Schizosaccharomyces pombe: one gene and its partners. Changing the gene in region 3 together with the main gene of any one other region gives a genetic interaction. Each region holds a gene or a part of one and is shown on either strand. Other genes may lie near its edges. The genes, in order: usp102, toc1 and rud3.

Region 1 (6,740 bases), 2.7 Mb from region 3:
GCTGCCTCTTTCGGTGTTTCGAGAAATAGTAGAGGATATGGTGAAACAAAACCTAGCAGAATGGACTGAAAAGCGAAATCCTAAAGACGTGTTTTGGGTATACTGGAGGTCTATATCTGAATGGGGGAATATGATCTTGAAATGGGTAAGCCATTTTCTGCATAGTCGAAAGTACTAATTGTTTTACAGCTATCCGATATGGGACGAGAAGGGTCTATATGTACATTTTACGAACTTCAAGAACAATATAAAGAGGTAGATTGTTTAGACGAAGTACTCCTCCATAAAGTTCTTGAGCTACTAATGAAAAAAGGAAATATCGAATTAATGAAAGGATCGTCTGGAAAATATAGCGGGTTCAAGGTACTGAAAGCTTAACATAATTACATGCTTGATATACATAATTTTGGGCCTGCAAAATTGCATTATATAATTTATATACACAAATGATCAATTATGAAAATGATAGGAGCTTTATATATTTCGAAAGGTGACTTTTGGATGATTATTGCAACAAAAATTTGAAAGAGGGAATTAAAATAGTTGCAGAATCAACTACGAGGCCTTCCGAGCGAATGTTACCTTTATTTGATTTCCACTGAGGGACATACCTGTTGTCCCATTTTTTGCGACCGTTGCTTCTCTATCAGAATCGTATTCAACAAATGCAATTCCTCTTCTACCGGGAACCATACGTACTTCTTGAAATCCAGAAAACGCTTCGAAAATTTGTGTAAGGACGTCTGCGTTTACTTCTTGAGGGATATTTTGTAACAGAAGTACCTTATTAGGAGGCAACAAATCTTCATTAATTGTCGATTTACGCTCAGCTCCAACATTACGTTTAGGAACCGGCTTTTTATGAGTGGGTTTGGGAGCTGCGGGTTGAAGAGCGCTAGTCCGTTTAAGCATTTCTATAATATAAGGTTAGTAAAGTGAGGTCTTTGATTTTAGAATAAAAAAGATTATACCTCTCCTATTTTTCCTATCTTTTTTCCTAGTTTCTATTTCTTCAGGAGATTCTCTTTGTACGATAATATCGCTTTTAGATTTACTGTACTGTATCATCATGGGCTTTCCATACAAAGGGTATCCTTGTAAATCCTTTAACGCTCGTGACGCGTTCTCCAAGTTGTCGAATACTACAAATGCTTGACCGCGCATTCGCAAAGTCTTTCTTGCTTGAACATCTATGACTTTACCATAAGACCCAAAGAGATGTTCTAAAATTCGTTTCAACACTACGATTGTTAGAAATTAAATTAAATTAAAACAATTTAAATTAGTGGCATACTAGTAAGACGAATTTTTTCTTCAATGTTGCGTATGTAGAGAGTCTCTGACGGTGTTTGAGAGTCTGTCTCTTTAGGAGATGGTTGTTGAACCTCTTGATGCGAATTTGTTTGAGGATCCATTGGATGTTAAATATAAAAAGATATTCACAGTGAATTTCGGCACTAATGTTATGATGAATCAAAAAACACGAGTATTTAAAAATTGGAAGACAATCCAGCTTATGGCATTAAATTCCAGCTAATTACCAAAAGAAGTAGTCTTTCAGGTACCACCTTGTTTTAGTAAATATGGCTCGTAATGGTTGACTTTACATTCAATTTCAAAATGTAAATTATAGCCAGCATTAATATTTCGTTGGATGTATTCTAAAAGCGCTTGTTTTCAAAATACAGTACTCTAATGTACCAAATATCAAATGGAGAGAAACACTCCTTATCCAAGTTAAAGATCGCGAAAGGAAGAACTTCAATAAATGGACGTAGTTTTAACACGATAACGCATCGCTATGTTTGACCATGTTGTTGCTCATTAATCTTGTTTTCAGTTGCAGAAAAAGTTACGAATGCTTGAATAGTGAATACGATAATCTGTACAATAATTCAGTTTGCCTTGTATTTTGTTACAATATGGTACAAATCCTTATATAATTTACGAGATACCTAGGTAAAAGAACCGAGTTTATGCGTTAATGATTTACCGTGCAGACAAATTTTGAACGCGCAAACAAAAGAATAAAAATTTTATAAACAACAATTGATTTAGTTACTGAAAGAGAGCGTTTACCCAAAGTAAAGAAAATGATATAAATATTGTTATTTGTAAACTGTGGATAATATGGGAATCGATGGTGTACTGGACGCGCAAATAACGAATTTTACGAGCCGTCCTATTAAGAAATACAACAGCCGAGAACAGAAGAGCAGTCACAAACCATTTTTTATTCCACAATATTAGATTGTATTAACACAAATAAAATTTTTTTTTCAAGGCATTCTCTACAATATCGAAGACATTCAACGTATAAAGGTTAGTCTTGATTCAAATACTTACCCTTGTAATTTCAATTTAATGTTAGACAAAGTTATTGCCCCAACGTCTCTGGAAAACGCGGATGCAAATTGTGGAGGAGGCAGAACTGGAAAAAGTATCAGCCAATCATCAACATGTCTGAAAAAAAATTCCAAGATATTTCTAAGCCTAGCTCGTAAAAACGGGTGACAAGACATGTATGGCGCTATCGAAGTACGAAAATAGAAAATTGCCAGACGATATTAGAGTAAAAGACACAAAAAGAATTTCATTTATTCACCCTATTATAATTTTTCAGCTTTCATCAATGTATGCGTACTAACTAAAAAAATTATCGGTGGTCATTTAAAAACAACAAAACCATCCAGCATTCATCACATGTCTTTCATCCAATCAAATGTAGTTATAGCTATTATCGTCCAATAGATTGCAGAGGCGGGATCAAAATCCCCTTAGGCAAAATTGGTAGGCTTCTCCACAGTTTTTCTCAGACTTGGGAAGAATGGAGCGGGGTAGGGAAATATAGCAAGACCCTGTCTTACAATGATTGGGCAAAAGCTTCACATATATGGGAGCAATATATGTACAATAGGCGCTTTTCACGGACATAGCAAACCTTGTTAGTAATGAGTTGGGCGTATTTAAGGAGGTCCCAAGGCCTCAAAAGTCGTTTACCAAGTTCATAACTTTTTAGGGACTACGTTAGTTAGCGATGAATTAGTGATGATTTAGTGTGCAGCGTTTACATTTTCTTAACACAGACAATTGCAGTACGGGTTACAGCTCCATATTTCTTCTATAGTCCGAATGAAGTATGGGCGTACACGTAATCAAGGGATAGAAGTATCCTTTTACACCGAACTGTTCAAGAGCGAATATATCGCTTGAGAATTCTGTTTTTTTTTGAAAAGGTTCATTGTCCATCCATATTTACCTTCTTGTTAGGGAGTCTCGCTAGGATGGTTGGTGTCGCGGTCGATGTATGGTCTCCAGGTTGGGGGCCCCTAGCTATCCTGACTTGGATAGGACAGAGATAAGATACACGTTGCGTGACGTTTTCTTAAAAAAAAAGAGCACGGCTATGCTCTATTCATGTTACTAGTTAATACTAGAGGAACTCCGCATTTAGGTTAGTTCCGTTATGGACTCGAATATGTGGAGCTCGAGAATGCAAGCAATCGAAATTTGAAGGATTATGGTTCCGTAACGTTAATTGTTCTATTGCCAGCTTTGAGATAGTCATGCAGCGATGAGAGTATGCTGTGTTTTAAACTTTGATATTTGCTGGTTCCAATACGTATGGCCACCATTGGTATTATTTTTTCGCCTTGCGAATTAATTTTACTGCAGACACTTTACTTCTTTTGCCTCAGGAAACGTTTTTTTGTGTTCAATCTTGATTTAACGATATGAGGAGTATAGAAATATACTTGGTTTTTTCGGTTACTTTGCTAAAATTATTGACGTTGGAATACACTCTGTATTTGCTAGCAGTCCGAACTTGCAGCCTCGGTCGCCAAAGTATTTAAATTTACTTTACTTTTGAGAATTATTCCTACATCACATTTATTGAAAGTCGTTTTTTCATCCTGTTATCGGCTTTCTACCTCACTAATAGTGTCTTTCCCCAGTATATGCATCAGTTTCATTACGTACAGTGTATCATTTTACGATTGAATTTTTTTTTTTGCTATGGAGAATTAATGATATCGTGACATTTTTACCTCGTTCTTGACTTTCAACGAGCTGTTGATCCTCGTCATACACGTCGTTTAAATTCTATTCCACATCTTATTCGTTCTTATTTGTGTGTGACTGCGTTTTTTTAAGTCGGCGTCCAATGATACAAGAGTTTGCTAACTACCTTGTTGCCCTTGTAATATTGTGACGTATAACCAAAAACTCTCCGGCGATCCTGTCTAAAATTTCACTGAAAGCAAAGGACTTTTGATACTTTTGTCGGGGTTTCTCTTCCCGAATTTAGTATAAAAGCTGCCCTCTTGACTGTTAAAATCTTTACCTAGACCTATTCTTGCTTTTTAAGTGCAAGAGCAACTTTAGTCTTCATTTACCTAAAAATCCTTTCTTTTTTTGGTTAAACAAGAACGAAATCCAAAGAAAGCTCAATAAAAGCATTGTGCTTTCCTTGGTTACCCTTTCTTTATACCGATTTTGAAAATACAAGCTCTCTGTGCTTGAAAATCATAATCTAGATTAATTTTTCTTTTAATTTTTATTTATTGAGAATCTCTTGTCAAGATCTCTAACTCATAAACTGTCTGTTCTTTGTTCTATCATTTCTGCTTAACGTGTTGCAACTGAAATAGACGTGTGGTTAATTTTATTCAATCTTTTATTTTCCACTTACATCCTTTCTATAGAATTTTTGTTTTTTTTCATCTTTATTAGATTCCTTTATACTTTATCAAAATGGGGTTCAAGCGTGGAAAGAATTTTACCCTTGTTATGTTAATTTTCGTCTCCATGGCCGGTTGGATGTTTGGTGCTGATACCGGTTCCATTGGTGGTGTTACTAGTATGCGCGATTTTCGTGAGCGTTATGCTGATAGATATGACCCGATCACCGACCAGTATTCTTTGTCTTCGGCTCGTCAAGGTCTTTTAACTGGTATGGTTAACGTTGGTTCCTTGTTTGGATGTATCATTTCTTCTCCCATTGCCGATCGTTTTGGTAAGAGACTTTCTATCATTGGTTTTTGTGCTGTTTATATCATTGGTATCATCGTTCAAGTTACCGCTGTTCCCTCTTGGGTACAAATCATGGTTGCCAAGATTTGGACTGGTATTGGTATTGGCGCTCTTTCTGTCTTGGCTCCTGGATATCAATCAGAGACTGCTCCTCCCAGTATTCGTGGTACCGTCGTCGTCACTTATCAGTTGTTTGTCACTGGTGGAATTTTCATTGCCGCTTGTATCAATATGGGTACTCACAAACTTCATAAAACTGCCCAGTGGCGTGTTTCAATTGGTATTAATCTCCTTTGGGGTATCATTACCATGATTGGAATTCTCTTCCTTCCCGAATCCCCTCGTTATCTTATTCAAGTTGGCAAGGATGAAGAGGCTGTTAGAGTTCTTTCTGAAAGTGCTGAGCTTTTTCCTGATAGTGAGGAAGTTCAAAATGAATATCACCGTCTCAAATCATCTATTGACGAAGAATTTGCTGGTGGCCCTTGCAGCTGGGCAAGCATTTTCGGTAAAGACATTCGTTATCGTACTTTCCTTGGTATGTTTGTTATGTCGCTTCAACAATTGACCGGTAACAACTATTTCTTCTACTATGGTTTCTCAGTTATGCAAGGAGCTGGTATTAATTCTCCTTACCTATCTGCTATGATTCTTGATGCAGTTAATTTTGGCTGCACTTTTGGTGGTATGTATGTATTGGAAAGGTTTGGTCGTCGTAACCCTCTTATCATTGGTGGTATTTGGCAGTCAATTTGCTTTTTCATTTATTCAGCTGTCGGTTCTCGTGCTTTATATCATAAGAACGGTACTTCAAATACCCGTGCTGGTGCCGTTATGATTGTCATGGCATGTCTTTTCATTTTTGGATTTGCTCAAACTTGGGCTCCTGCCGCATACGTTATTGTTGGTGAGTCATACCCTGTTCGTTACCGCTCTAAGTGTGCTGCCGTCGCTACTGCTAGCAACTGGCTCTGGAATTTCCTAATTTCATTCTTTACTCCATTCATTCAAGCTTCTATTGGATTCAAGTACGGTTACGTTTTTGCTTCTTGTAATTTGACCGGTGCAATTGTTATTTTCTTGTTTGCTAAAGAGACTAAAGGTCTTACTTTGGAAGAAATTAATGAGTTGTATATGTCTGTCATCAAGCCCTGGGAATCTGGTAACTTTAAGCTTAACTATTCTGAGCAAAAGAAAGTTGAGAAAGAGAAATCCAGAAAGGGCGGTGCCCGTGGTGAGTCTGTTGAGTATGTTGAGCGTGCTTCAAACACTGACTCATCTCCACAATACTCTTCCCATGAGGAAGATTACGCATAAGGCAATAGCTAAACGTCTTTGTATGATTTATGAATTGTGTGAGGCAGCTAGATCCAAAATTTGTTGTTCCGATTCGTTGGGTCTATATATTATATTATTAGCTAAGTTTGGATTGATAATTTGTTAAGTTACTGTGCATCTTAAATCTAGTTTTTTGAGATTATGTTCGTTTGCATATAATATTAGATACATGTGCATTCTTTGTCCATTTTTGTGTTTTTGTGTTCATTATAGGAAATAATATTTTTTATACCTAATTAAGTTTTTGTTGATTCGTTGCTTAGTAGCTAAGTATTTCCAATGTTAATAAATATTTGTAAATGTTGAAGTGAGTCATGTTTATACAGTGATTTGTAGTTGAATTTTCATTATATTAGTAAGTCTGTTAC
Region 2 (6,740 bases), 1.7 Mb from region 3:
TCAACCTTAGTGAAGAAAGTGGAGTGTTGTCGAAAGTGTCGGATAGAGGATGGGATAGTTTGTTAGCTTGTTTAGTACGTGATCATGTAGTTAAAGTATTTCGTCGCCATGGAGCCAAGGAACGTGAGTCACATATTCTATTCCCAAAGTCTTCTCAATACGATAAAGACCAAGCTTCTGTTTCCCTACTAGATAAAAATGGTACCCTTTTACAGCTTCCATATGATACGGTTCTTCCTTACGCGAGAAATGTTGCTAGAAACGCTGTGGAAGAAGAAAAGACGTACTTAATTTCTGACGTTTTTCGGGAAGCCAAAGGTGGAGGGAGACCAAAGGCTATAAAGGAAATTTCATTTGACATTACCACGAATTCTGATAATTTGGATTGGTATGATGCAGAAACAATCAAAGCATTAGACGAAGTATTAACAGAGATACCATCCTTGACAGAAAGTTGTATCTTAATTAATCACGCTGACATTCTTTCCTCCATTCTTGATTATTTACAAGTATCAAAGGATAAAAGACGCATGGCTACTCATATACTTGGACAAATCAACCAACGCTTAACATTATCACAGGTACGGAACCAGCTTCGTATTGAGTCATTAGTTCCCTCTACCACCTTAGACGATCTGAGTTTGTTTGATTTTCGGGAAAATTATGAAGAAGGTGCTAGCAAACTTAGAAAAATTTTTGGGAAGGAAATGCCACAGAAAATGAGAACTGCTTTAAATTATATGGAGCGAGTGGTTAAATTACTTCGAGCACTAAAAATTTCTCATCAGTTATACTTCATGCCTTTATGTGTTTATAACTTTGAGTTTTACGATGGAGGTTTGATGTTTCAAGCAATTAACTTGGCGGAAAAATCTGAACTCATTTGTGCTGGTGGTCGTTATGACAAGCTTGTACGCTTTTTCGATCCTCCTCTAATGAGAACTGCCAGAAAAAAGCATGTTGTTGGAATATGTTTTGCCCTTGAAAAACTAGTATTTTCAATGCTGCGATATATTCGATTTCACAATAGTAAGCAGTCAAGCAAGCATTCTCCTTCACCAACTTTAAAGTCTGTAGGCCCTTGGGCACCAAGGAGAGTTGATGTCTTAGTTACTAGTATTGGCAAGGATTCAATCCTAGAAAAATGCTCACTTTTGCAAGAGCTTTGGGCTTTAAATATCCAAGCGGATATAGTTTTAAGGGGTGCTAGCAGTTTAGAAGAGATTGTAACACACTATCGAAGTGAAGGCATTAATTGGGTTCTCGTCGTGCGTCAGAAAAATACCCAGATGGAACATTCAGTCAAGGCTCGAAATATTTTAAAAAATGAAGATGACGAAATACGCTTTGATGAAGTTGGGATGTGGTTGCTGGGAGAAATTAATGAAAGAAAAAGAAACGAAAGCATGTTACAGTCGAAACGTATATTAGACTCAGCTCAACAAGATGTTGCAAAGTTCGTTGACACCTCTCAATCCAACCTCGACGTACAGTTGATCTCGCTTAAAGACGTTAATGATAGAAAGTATAAATGGAAACACAAACAAAATGCTATGAATAAAGTTTATGATCTAGTGCAGTCAGCCATTCGTGAAAGCTCAGAAGATGCTATTGCTTTAGCAGTGGATTGCGACTCAGAAGCTATGGAAAAACTTCGTAGTACCACTACGCTTGATGAGGAGTCTTGGAAACGTTTAATAGAAAGTTGCCCAGCTTCTCAAAGGGAATATATGCAGAGACTGCAAAAGAAACTTGTCACCCTTGCAGAACAAGATAAGAAGCGGGTTTGGATATGCTCATTCAGGACAAACGAAATTTATCTTTATGGACTTAAATAAATTTTGAACTAATTAATCATTTAATTTTCATTACTCTTTTAATTAAATAGAAAAAATTTTGCTATAAATTACTTTAAATGTGTATATTTCGTGATCGGTATATTATTTTTTGTTAAGTAAGTTAGAGTCAATTTGATACTTTTTATTTTTAATATAACATGGAAGTTCTGCTTTTATACCATTTTTCTCTATATTTCACGTTCAAATTACCGTTGGATATTGACCTTTCTACTGCATGAACGGGTTTGCAAGCTCAATGTATCTCACACTAACCTAGCACACCAATTTAAACAGCCTAATGGATGAAGGAATAGAGAAAAACATATTTGTCAACTTGGAATCTCAGATTGACGGTGTGTGTCCCAAATTCTATGTTAACGTTGATGATATTGATATCATTCATGAACCTCCTGAGTTTTATCAACGCTTGAAAAAATTAATCAAAAAAGCTCAAAAAAGAATATTTCTATCAACGCTATACATTGGAAAAGAAGAGCGAGAATTGATCAATTGTCTATCAAATGCGCTAAGCAACAATCCCTCTTTGCATGTTCACATTCTGGCAGATCAATTGCGGTGTACTAGGGAAAGCCCTGGTTGTTGCTCTGCATCTCTATTAATGCAATTGAAAAAGAAGTTTCCTGATAGATGCGAAATCAAGCTTTACCATACACCGAATTTGCGTGGACTAAGAAAGCAATTGGTTCCACACAGATTTAATGAGGGATGGGGATTGCAGCATATGAAAATATATGGTGCAGATGATAACCTCATTATCAGCGGGTAAAGGCAAATGATTATTTACTATACTAACGAATAGAGCCAATCTTTCGAGAGATTACTTTACAAATCGAAAAGACCGGTATTATTTGTTTAGTGATAAGGGTTTAGCGGACTTTTTCTTTAAAACGCATTTTTTGTTTTCACAGCTTTCTTTTGAGTGTATCCCTCATTTATCCGATTCCTCAATTCAACTATCTTCTACGTCCCCGGTTATTCCTTTTACTTTGAAATGGAACAATTCATGTCCAAATCCTTTAACAAATCCTCAAGAGTTTCGGGTAGCAGCTTCTGCTAAAATTCAACAACTTCTTCAGGGGAATCGAGAGAAATTCTTGTCTCGCAACCCTTCTAAACCGTTATCATCAGTATATGGCTCTGAATTAATTAATCAAGCAGGTGATGACAACAATAAGCCATTTCATAAATATGAAGAATCTGCTATCGTATACCCACTTTTTCAATGTGTACCTATCCTTACTTCTGACGTACATTCTACTGAAGAAAAGGTCTTGTCTATAATCGGGACCTTGCTATCGCGCAAGGAGGTTAATTGGACCTTAACGGCTGGCTATTTTAATGTTTATCCAGCACTTAGAAAACAGTTGTTGAAATCTGAAGGTATAGGGGAAGTAATCGTGGCTTCTCAACAGGCTAATGGATTTTATCGATCTCCTGGACCATCGAAATTAATTCCACCAGCGTATCAGTATATTGCTGAACAATTTCTTAAAGATTCAAGAAAGAAGAAAAGAAATATTGATGTCTTACAATGGCAAAATAAGGGGAATACATATCATGCTAAAGGTAAACACTACAGTCTGTCGTTTTCCATTATAAATATTTTTTGGAGCACGGCACTTAAGTCATATATCTTTGAAAAATTCACTAACACTATTTTAGGATTTTGGTTGAGTACACAACATCACAAGCATCCTTTTTTAACGACGATTGGGTCTTCCAATTATACGAGTAGGTCTCAACAGTTGGACCTTGAATCCACCTTAGTTGTAATGACACAGAATGAAAAATTAAAGAGAAAATTTTCTACTGAAATTGAACTTATTAAACAGCACACAAAGCCTATGAATACCTGTCAGTTAGAAAAGGTTCCTATGTATGTGAAGGCTTTGACTTCTCTCATGAAGAAAAAATTATAATATGAATTTAATAAAATTTATAAATAAATTATCAAGAATTAGATTTTTCGGCGTTATTAAGCATGTAGTATAGCACAATACTGTATCAATTATATTACATCGACAACGGCGTACCTAATTCTTGCCAACGCCGATCTCACTGAGCAACGCGATTCGAGCGTTGACGAAATCTTCATAGTAGATTTAATGCAATTGCAATCGCCATTTGGCGATGGAATAAGTTGTGAATGTCTCAATATACGTGTTTTAGGAATTCCTAATGAAACCAAACATCAATGGATATTTGTTCCTCGTGATCTCATAAAAATTGTACGCTAACCTTAATGAAATCAAATATAACTAATTCAATAGAAAATTTATAGTTTATTGCAAATATGCAAAGCTGAAAATTGTTCAGCTGTTGCTTGTCGAGGCTGCAACTTATGTATTCTTGCTGTGCAGGGAAATATTGAAATATCCGAGGAACCGCAGAAATTATTTCAAGAAGAAAACGTGAAAGTTTACATATACGATTCAGCTATTTCTCTTTCTTCTGTAAGAGCATCTTTTCCTATTTCAGAATTGGGCATTCGAATGGACATAATTAAAGCGCGAGCTGAACCTCGGGAAGATGAAATACGGGCTTCATTTTCTTCACTAGTAAACAAGGAAATTAAGCGTACAGTCGAAGAACTTTTGTTGTCAAAGAGATCAACAAATCGTTTATCACTACTTGCGTTTATGCGTAATCAGCAACTCAACTATGAAGCCTACGAAACTAAATTGTTAGAAGATGCTTCGACAATTGAGAAATCACTAGAGAAGGAAGTGAAAACCATATATGATAGCAATATCGCATCACCAAAGGAGTCGAGTGATGCCATTGATGCTGACCATGCCATGATCGACGAAAGTCGGTCTACTCAACGTCGAAAATCGAAGCCAAAAAAGCATGTTGCTTTTACTGATGAATATCAAGTTGCCTTTTCGGACAAGCCCGGCAAGTATTTTAACCAGCCAATGCAGTATTCCAAACAGTTCAAACTTGACAACCCAGACTATGAAGCGTCTTCGGATTCGTTAAACGATATAGAAAATCTATCTACTTTAACTTTCAGATCTGATGAAGAACTTGAATTCGATTTTGACACAAACAACATAAATAATAACAAATCGGGCGATTCACTTGAAATGTCAACCACGATTCCGAGCGACGAGGAAAATGAAGATTTTACTAGCAAAGTGGATGCTATGGAAATTCACTCAGGAAGTTTACCATTAAATATTGATTCTTCTCCTATATTCACAAATCATTCTCCTTCGTCAAGTCTTAGCTCAGAATCCTCCTTTGAAGCCTCACCCTCTTCGTTTGTCGATCGGAAAAATAGATGGATCCAAATGTTGAAAAAGGCAGACGAACATAGTCGAAGTATCCAAGCCCGAAGTATGGGCTATGTATTAAGTGATGATCTTGACAATTCAAAAGCTTTTAGACCTTATAAACAGTCGTTTTTGGCTCAAGGTTGGAAGAGTTTAAATTGAATAGCGTCTATGTGTTTTATCTTTACAATTTAGGACTATTTCTTGCGCTCCTTTTTTTCTCACAAAGAATGCTTGATGATTTTGTTTCGTTGATAATAATTTTGCTATTATTTTATACTATTTTTAAATAATTATAGTTGGGGTTAATAATTGATTTGCTTTTGATTTGTATGATCGACAGCCGATTATAAACATGCTCGACAGTATTCGATCGAACTACCTGCATAAACAAGGTAGTATTCAGTACTAAAGGTTAGACGCCAAACTAGTGAATTTACAATACCTAAGTAATTGATGCAGTGTTGCCCATCAACACCCTAAGAACAGACGACTGAAATGATACTTCGTGAAACGATTCTCAAAAGTTACCTATACAAATTTACAGCTTTTGTTATTTAACATCAATATTGATTAAACTTAAATTAATAATTGTGTTTTAATGTACCAATTACAAATTCCTAGTGAGTAAATAATACCAAAAGCATTGATTACTTTGTATAACAAACGAGGCTTTCGATAAAATGGGATTCCCTAAATAAAATAAATCTAAGAAGCAGAAGAATTGTTGTGAACATAAAAATATTTTATTTAAACATTGGAGGGATAAAGCATGACACGGAGAGAGGCACCAAAGGTCTTGGGAGGAAGATTATGGGTGAAACGAGCACGAACAACACCAGAATTTCCATGAGGACGACTAACAGTTCTAAAACGTAATTAGTAAAGGTTTTGAATGTATTCGTTTAGCCAACAAAAAACGACCGTGAAAATATAGCATTAACGTTTCTTCATATTCTCCAAAGAAACGCAAGAATTTAATTACAAAAATAAACTTACCCCCAAATGACACGAATCTTGGATCCACGAACGGGCTTGTTGCTTTTGTAGACGAAGCAAATACGCTTGCCTAGGTAAAATTGGGCTTCTTCCTTAGAATCACATCCCTCAATCTTTACCAAAGAAGTTCCTGGGTGGATAACATGTTTGCTTCTTTGAAAAGAGAGATGTTTAGCTTTAACGTACAATCTGTGTCCCTGAGCAGGCATTTTGACTTGGTAAAGGCGGAACTCTTAGTGTGGTGATCCTTACCGTTTGCTTAAGCTGTGACTGCCCTTCTTGTGCTTGCAAAACCTAAGCTTGTGTTGGTAGTAAACACTTTCATAAATCTAGCATAGTGTAACGTACTTCATAATCTTATTGATTGCGATCATATAGCTTAATTCATTATATAATCTTAAAAAGATACTCTTCAATTTTTTAAAATTATCTCTCACTTACCAATACAGTATAGTGTAAAGTTTTTCTAATGATCAATATAAAGTAACGGGGACTAACTTGATAATATTCGATTTTGTTTACATATTATTGTTTAGTATTATATCTTGTACCTGAATAGTCTACTACTGAATATAGGAATATCGGCTGATTAAACCTATTCATT
Region 3 (6,740 bases):
AATCTTCTTTGCGTGCTGCTTCAAGAAGAGGATCTATTTTTTTCGTTTTCAAAGCCTTCAAAAGACATGATTTGTACTCGGCAAAGAGCTCATCACAGTCTCTATTATGGAGATCACCTTTTAAGAATTTATTCGCATACCAATCGTTAAAGCAGGCATCATACTTCTTCTGTTCATAATTTAGTCAGCTAAAATTCGTCCACAGTGTTTATCATATAAAGAAAACTCTACCTTAGCAGGGGTACATTCTTCACTAACAGAGGACGACATAGTTGGATTCAGTAATCTTGATACTTTTCCAAACTGTTGAATGAATGAATTTTCTCCAGATCAATTAAACCAATTTCCTTGTCAAGGAAAAAAAAAATGAACGAAAAAAATTTAACAAACTTGAAGAAATGAATCAAGCAGTTTTCGATCCCAATTCCCTATGACCGTAGTAACGTGGTTGTCTAGTATGTGTAGAGCACTAAGCAAAATACCCCATGCCAGTTCAAGTTTGACACTCCACTTGGAACTTGTCAATAAAGCGAATTTGAATCTTATTTTTACTTATTTATTTGCATTAATCTTCAAATTTGCACGATTAGTGCTATTAAGCCTATAAAAAGTTGCAGTTCTATTAAATAGCCACATACATCTATTTTGTACATTACTATCCTGGCGTTTGCTGATTACGTCCTATTTTTGAATTATTCATTAGTCTTTTTTTTAGTGAAATCTTAGACTTCCAGAACCAGCTTTGTTATTTTTTTTTCTTTTTCTGGCAACTACGCTTGACAAAAAGTTTTTCATTAGGCAAGGATTTTAACCAATATAATGTCACTGGCAGATGAATTATTAGCTGATCTTGATGATATTGAGGAAACTACAGAATCTACAATTACTGATGAACTTGGGCCAGATGCGAAGAAAAGGCGGTTAGAGTTACAATTAGAGGAAGGAAATGGCATTTCTGCTGAATTAGAAAACGATTTGGATATTACCAAAATTAGCGATTCTGCTCAAAAATTGCCTAGTGAAGTTGCTAATAAATTTAATGACAATAATGAGAACATTTATCAGCTGTTGAATTCTACACGTCTTCGCGATATCATAGAAGGAACTGAGAAATATAAAGGCACCGAAAAACAAGCTATCACTGGAAACATCGAAGATGATCTCGAATATCACCTTATCGTGGATTCTAATTCAATTGCGATGGAAATTGACGATGAAATCCTGCGGCTGCACAGACTCGTGAAGGAATGGTATCATGACCGATTTCCTGAATTAAGTAGTTTGGTCTTGAATGCCTTTGACTATTGCAAAACTGTTAGTTCTCTGTTAAATGATTTAGACAACAGCAAAACCAAACTTTCCTTTCTTCCTTCTGCTACAGTGATGGTTATTGCTACAACAGCAACGACAACAGTGGGAAAGCCTCTTCCAGATGAAATGATAAAAAACGTTAAAAATTGCTGTGAGGCAATTCAGCAATTGGGTGAAGAAAAGCAAAAAATTATTGAATATGTCCAATCAAGAATTAGTGTCGTAGCTCCTAATTTGTCTGCAGTCGTGGGTTCTACCACAGCTGCCAATTTAATCGGCATTGCAGGAGGATTGACTAGACTTGGAAAGTTTCCTGCTTGCAATTTACCAGCGCTCGGAAAAAGGAGGCTGACAACAATTGGTATTAACAATCCGGCTGTTAGTGGGGATTATGGATTTTTGTATATGTCGGAAATTGTTCAAAAGACCCCTCCTGATGTACGAAAGCAAGCTATCCGAATGACTGCTGCTAAAGTTGCTTTAGCAGCAAGAATCGATTCCATTCATGAATATCCTGATGGCTCATTTGGCATATCTGCTCGAAAGGAAGTTGAACGGAAAATTGAAAAGCTTTTGGAACCTCCATCACAGAAACCAACTGTTGCGCTACCCGTTCCTGACGATAGGCCAAAACGTCGTCGTGGAGGAAGAAGAATTCGCAAGATGAAAGAGCAATATGCCGTAACGGAATTGCGGAGATTACAGAATCGCGTCGCCTTTGGTAAGGAGGAGGCGGAAGTCTTTAATTTTGACGAAACGGAAGGTCTTGGTATGCTTGGTCAAGAAGGTGAAGGAAAAATTCGTGCAGTGTCAATTGATTCTCGAACTAAATTACGGTTACCAAAAGCGCGGAAGGCCCAACTACAATCAATGGCACAGAAGAATCCCCTTGCTGCAAGCGGTTTACAAAGTTCATTATCCTTCACACCTATTCAAGGCATTGAACTAGTGAACCCCTTACTTCAACGACAACAAAAAGTAGAAGAGGCCAACAAATGGTTTCGTGATGGTGTTTTTACACAGATAAAGAAGGATTCTAATGAGCCGAAAAATAAATTTTCATAATAATGTCTTCATAATGATTAGTTACTTTGCATATAGCTATGTTGCTTTTGCATACTAGTAATACAGACCATAACTATGACCTGAGTGATTAAAATAAAATGATATTTTTAAAATTCTTCGAAAAAACTGATATTAACAAACAATTTTGAAAATTAAGAATATTGACTAATAGATGAAATTGCAACAAGCGCTTTTGCCATAAAGCTAGGCATAGCAGGAGAAGGCAAAATATCAAAATGAACGTATGAAACTATTACTTCAAGAATGATATAGTCAACCTTCAAAATGTGTGAAAAGAGAGTAAAAAAATACTAAAACCTTGTACGCGCGGCAAAAGGTAACCCCTAATTAAGTTGTGAAGTAAGAAAAAAAAAAGCGATACATAAAAAGAGCGAAAGATATTATTATTTACAGAAAAAAGAAAAATCTTTCATACCATTGCTCAATTGAAACGTAAAATTATCGGTTAGTGTGGAAGAAAATTATGAGTCATGGAAAGAACGTCTTTTGGAAAAGGAATGATCGGAGAATAGAGAGTTAGAGGACGCACTGTGAGGAATACTCCAATTATTTACAGAGGAACCAGGACGTTGAAGTCCCGTTTGTTCCCTTTGCGTATCGTTCCAATCTAACACGGAAGAAATTAATTGCAATATTTCGAAACGTTTAGTGTCAGCGCGAGGAAGCGTCAAAAAGGAGACAAACAAATTAGAAATAAGTTGTTTGTCAATTTTTTCTGCATTATTTCCATCTTTAAGCATGCAGAGAGCCTTTGTAAGATGTTCATTCAAAACAACGGCCTCGTGCTGCAGTTTACCAATAAGTAGGGTTTTTTCTTTCACCTCGTGCTCCAAATCAGAGACCCTTGAAAGCCTTTTCTGTGTAGCATCTAACTCATTTTGCAAATCTTCGTACTCTTTTGATTTAGAAGCGAATTTCTCAGTCACGTCGTCCATGGCCTTCTGCCAATTTCTGGTAAGTTCACCGAGGTTTTCAGTATGGGAAGCTTTGGTGGATTCTAATTCAATTTCTAGTTGATGCTGATTTGTCAAATGACGTTGAATTTCAACTTCATACTGCTCTTGTCTTTCAGTTTCTCTAGCTAGCTGCTCTTCACAATCTGCCAATCGAACGGCCAATGATTCTTGCATCTCATGTTCATCTCTGGCTCTTCTTTCCCATTGTTTTGATTGAGTCGATAACAATTGATTTTCTTCAACAAGCGAAGCATTTTGCTGTCTCAAATCTGTTATATCTTGCGTTAAGCTTTCTACTTGTGCGGTCAAGGTTACGGTTTCTTCATTGCTCAACTTAAGTGCTTCCTCTGCATCGCCCAAAGACTTTTCGAGCTCTTGAATTCGTTTTCGATTTTGAGCTAACTCTTGAGAATCCTTCTTAAGCCTTTCTCCCAACGTTGACTTAATTCCCGAGACCTTCCCGAGTAAATTAGAGTGTTGCTGCTTCAATGAGTTATAAGAATTCTTTAATGTTTGATAAGCTTCCTCCTTCTCCGCCAATTTCTTGAAAGATTCTGAACATTCTAAATGTTCATCGTTTTCTTTCAAAACTCCGCCTTTTTCATTCAATTTGAGCTCATTTTTTTCATCTTCTAAGTTCAAACGACTTAAATCCTCTTGTAAATTCTCATTTTCCACCAATTTTGTTTCATTTCCTGCATTTTCTGCCATTCCAGAAATTATGGGAAATTGAATTAGTGAGCTCTAGAGTGGCCCTAAAACATCCATCTTTTCGTAAACATTTCCATAAACCTCGATAATATTCCTTTAACTTGGTTTACGAAATACTAAACCTTTTGCTTTAAAATTTGTTACTACAATAAACAGTAGCAACGTATTCAACTTTAACTGTAAGCTACGCAGTTTGGTATCTGATTTAAGGATACGTAGAACTGCGGTGAGTTTTCCTTATGGTCTATTTATATTACAATACACAGGTTGTATAAGTAGCAACTGAGTATAGGTATTGTATTAACTGGGTTATAATGTTACCTATCACTAATATAGCTCATAACTGAACTGAGGAACGAGGTTCAGTTGTAACGCTATTTATAATATTTCTAAATAGTTGTTATTAACGGGTATCTATGTATATAGACGGATAGTTACCCGTGATTATCAATAAACGGATCTTAGCTAGTATTCCAACATATGACATATAGTGATACGCAACGTAGTGTATCATAGCGTAGTGTAGTATTGCTGACATTAACATACTTTGTTGACCGTTGTGCTGCGGTACGCCCCTATTCTTTCTCTGCTCATGTTAACCAACGAACGTGGTGAAATAAACCGCTAAGTTGGAAAAAGAGTGTTTCTTTCTTCCTTCTCCTTTCTCGTCCCTCACTGCCCAACATAAACAAACTCCCACACATATGAGGTTGAACGAGTCTGCATATTCTTTTTAAAGAAAAGAGTTGTTTTCTTATTCATATTGACGGTTTGGTAGTTCCTACGAACTTGCATTTCAGATTGTTTATTTTTCATTCGGGTTTTTGCAAAGTAAGTAGCGTTGTCTTGCATCTACGGTGATAGAGCTTTCTTTCAAATAAGGAGGATTGCTGGTCCTTGGTTTGGTCAACATACGGTTTTTAATCACATTTCGATTTTACGCTGCATTTTCGATTTGCTTCAGATATCATTAATTGGTAGATTTGAAGATTATAACATTGAAAAAGACTTTTTTCACTGTAAAAAATATTTATTTTTTTATATTCAGCTATTCGAAGAACATTTTTTTTGCATTTTTTTCTTAGCTGGGTAGGTGTTCTTCACATTGGAGAGCTGTTTTTGGTTGATTGTTTTGTTACAAGATTTTTTGCATTTGTATATTACACGGAGCTTTTCGTGCTGATCATTTTTTACTTCTTGATTGTTCTTTACTGTTTGTGGTATATTTCTAAAGAAAACACAAAGTAAAGTAATTTTGGGTAAATAACTTTTTCGTTGTGGCCCTTAGAACAGTATCCTGGTACTGCACATTTCTTCTACTGACGATATTTTTACCGGAACTCTGTTCCGTACTTAATTCTCGGCCATTTTTGACACCGATTTTTTAAGTAGATCCCAATACAGCATTCTTGGATACTTCTGTCTCTTTTAGCACCGTTTTCCTTCTCACAATCTACTTTATATTTCTACCATTTTCCTATGGGACGGTTTAAGAGGCATCATGAAGGGGACTCAGATTCCTCCTCATCCGCTTCCGACTCTTTATCAAGAGGAAGAAGGTCTCTTGGTCACAAGCGAAGTAGCCACATAAAAAATCGGCAGTATTATATTTTGGAAAAAAAAATTCGTAAACTCATGTTTGCTATGAAAGCCTTGCTAGAAGAAACAAAGCATTCAACAAAGGATGATGTGAATTTGGTTATCCCTGGTTCTACTTGGAGCCATATTGAAGGAGTCTACGAAATGTTGAAGTCAAGGCATGATCGCCAAAACGAACCTGTCATTGAAGAACCCTCCTCTCACCCAAAAAATCAAAAAAATCAAGAAAATAATGAACCAACATCTGAGGAGTTTGAAGAAGGAGAGTATCCCCCGCCATTACCACCTTTACGGTCTGAGAAACTAAAGGAACAAGTTTTTATGCATATTTCTAGAGCTTATGAAATTTATCCAAATCAGTCGAATCCGAATGAATTGTTGGATATCCATAATGAAAGGCTAGAATTTCTTGGTGACAGCTTTTTTAATTTGTTTACTACGCGTATTATATTCAGCAAGTTCCCTCAAATGGATGAAGGAAGTCTTTCCAAACTCCGGGCAAAATTTGTTGGCAACGAAAGTGCTGATAAATTTGCAAGGCTCTATGGGTTTGATAAAACACTTGTCCTCAGTTATTCTGCCGAAAAAGACCAACTTCGAAAATCTCAAAAGGTCATTGCTGACACTTTCGAAGCATATCTCGGTGCATTGATATTGGATGGACAAGAAGAGACAGCTTTTCAATGGGTTAGCCGACTTCTCCAACCAAAGATTGCCAATATCACTGTTCAACGTCCTATCGATAAGCTGGCTAAATCAAAACTTTTTCACAAGTACAGCACTTTGGGCCACATCGAATATCGCTGGGTCGATGGTGCTGGTGGTTCCGCTGAGGGTTATGTTATTGCCTGCATATTTAATGGCAAAGAAGTAGCCCGTGCGTGGGGTGCAAATCAAAAAGACGCGGGCTCTAGGGCAGCTATGCAAGCACTCGAAGTCCTTGCAAAAGATTACTCTAAGTTTGCCCGTTAATCCCACATTTTTTATTTTTCTAAAAATTTAAATCCCATTTTATACGATGAATTAATTCGTCACGGTTTCGATCGTTAAAAGGTCTTACTGTCACAGTCAATCTAT

Evidence for each region.
Region 1: mutations in rud3 (region 3) and usp102 together harm fitness more than expected from each alone (negative genetic interaction), as found in Schizosaccharomyces pombe (one large-scale study listed by BioGRID).
Region 2: mutations in rud3 (region 3) and toc1 together harm fitness less than expected from each alone (positive genetic interaction), as found in Schizosaccharomyces pombe (one large-scale study listed by BioGRID).

What each region holds. Positions count from the first base shown.
Region 1 is NC_003423.3:3,422,817-3,429,556, forward strand, and holds usp102 (U1 snRNP-associated protein Usp102), read right to left. Parts: upstream 1,664-6,740; 5' UTR 1,416-1,663; coding exon 1,295-1,415; exon of another isoform or gene 1,242-1,294; coding exon 972-1,241; exon of another isoform or gene 915-971; coding exon 556-914; 3' UTR 406-555; downstream 1-405. Other genes in the region: ESCRT II complex subunit Vps25, read left to right, coding at 1-145, 190-378; plasma membrane glucose/fructose:proton symporter Ght2, read left to right, coding at 4,756-6,351. UniProt on the Schizosaccharomyces pombe protein: Involved in nuclear mRNA splicing.
Region 2 is NC_003423.3:2,399,617-2,406,356, forward strand, and holds toc1 (Tor complex Tor2-interacting protein 1), read left to right. Parts: upstream 1-3,901; 5' UTR 3,902-3,964; coding exon 3,965-4,087; exon of another isoform or gene 4,088-4,129; coding exon 4,130-5,299; 3' UTR 5,300-5,716; downstream 5,717-6,740. Other genes in the region: eIF2 alpha kinase Gcn2, read left to right, coding at 1-1,838; pgs1 (CDP-diacylglycerol--glycerol-3-phosphate 3-phosphatidyltransferase), read left to right, coding at 2,137-2,621, 2,659-3,425, 3,522-3,778; rpl35A02 (60S ribosomal protein eL33), read right to left, coding at 5,888-6,005, 6,137-6,345. UniProt on the Schizosaccharomyces pombe protein: Component of TORC1, which regulates multiple cellular processes to control cell growth in response to environmental signals. Tor2 is essential for growth. Nutrient limitation and environmental stress signals cause inactivation of TORC1.
Region 3 is NC_003423.3:737,599-744,338, reverse strand, and holds rud3 (golgin protein Rud3), read right to left. Parts: upstream 4,077-6,740; 5' UTR 4,065-4,076; coding exon 2,859-4,064; 3' UTR 2,463-2,858; downstream 1-2,462. Other genes in the region: protein Mdm35, read right to left, coding at 1-169, 232-270; U4/U6 x U5 tri-snRNP complex subunit Prp31, read left to right, coding at 820-2,376; double-strand-specific ribonuclease Pac1, read left to right, coding at 5,544-6,635.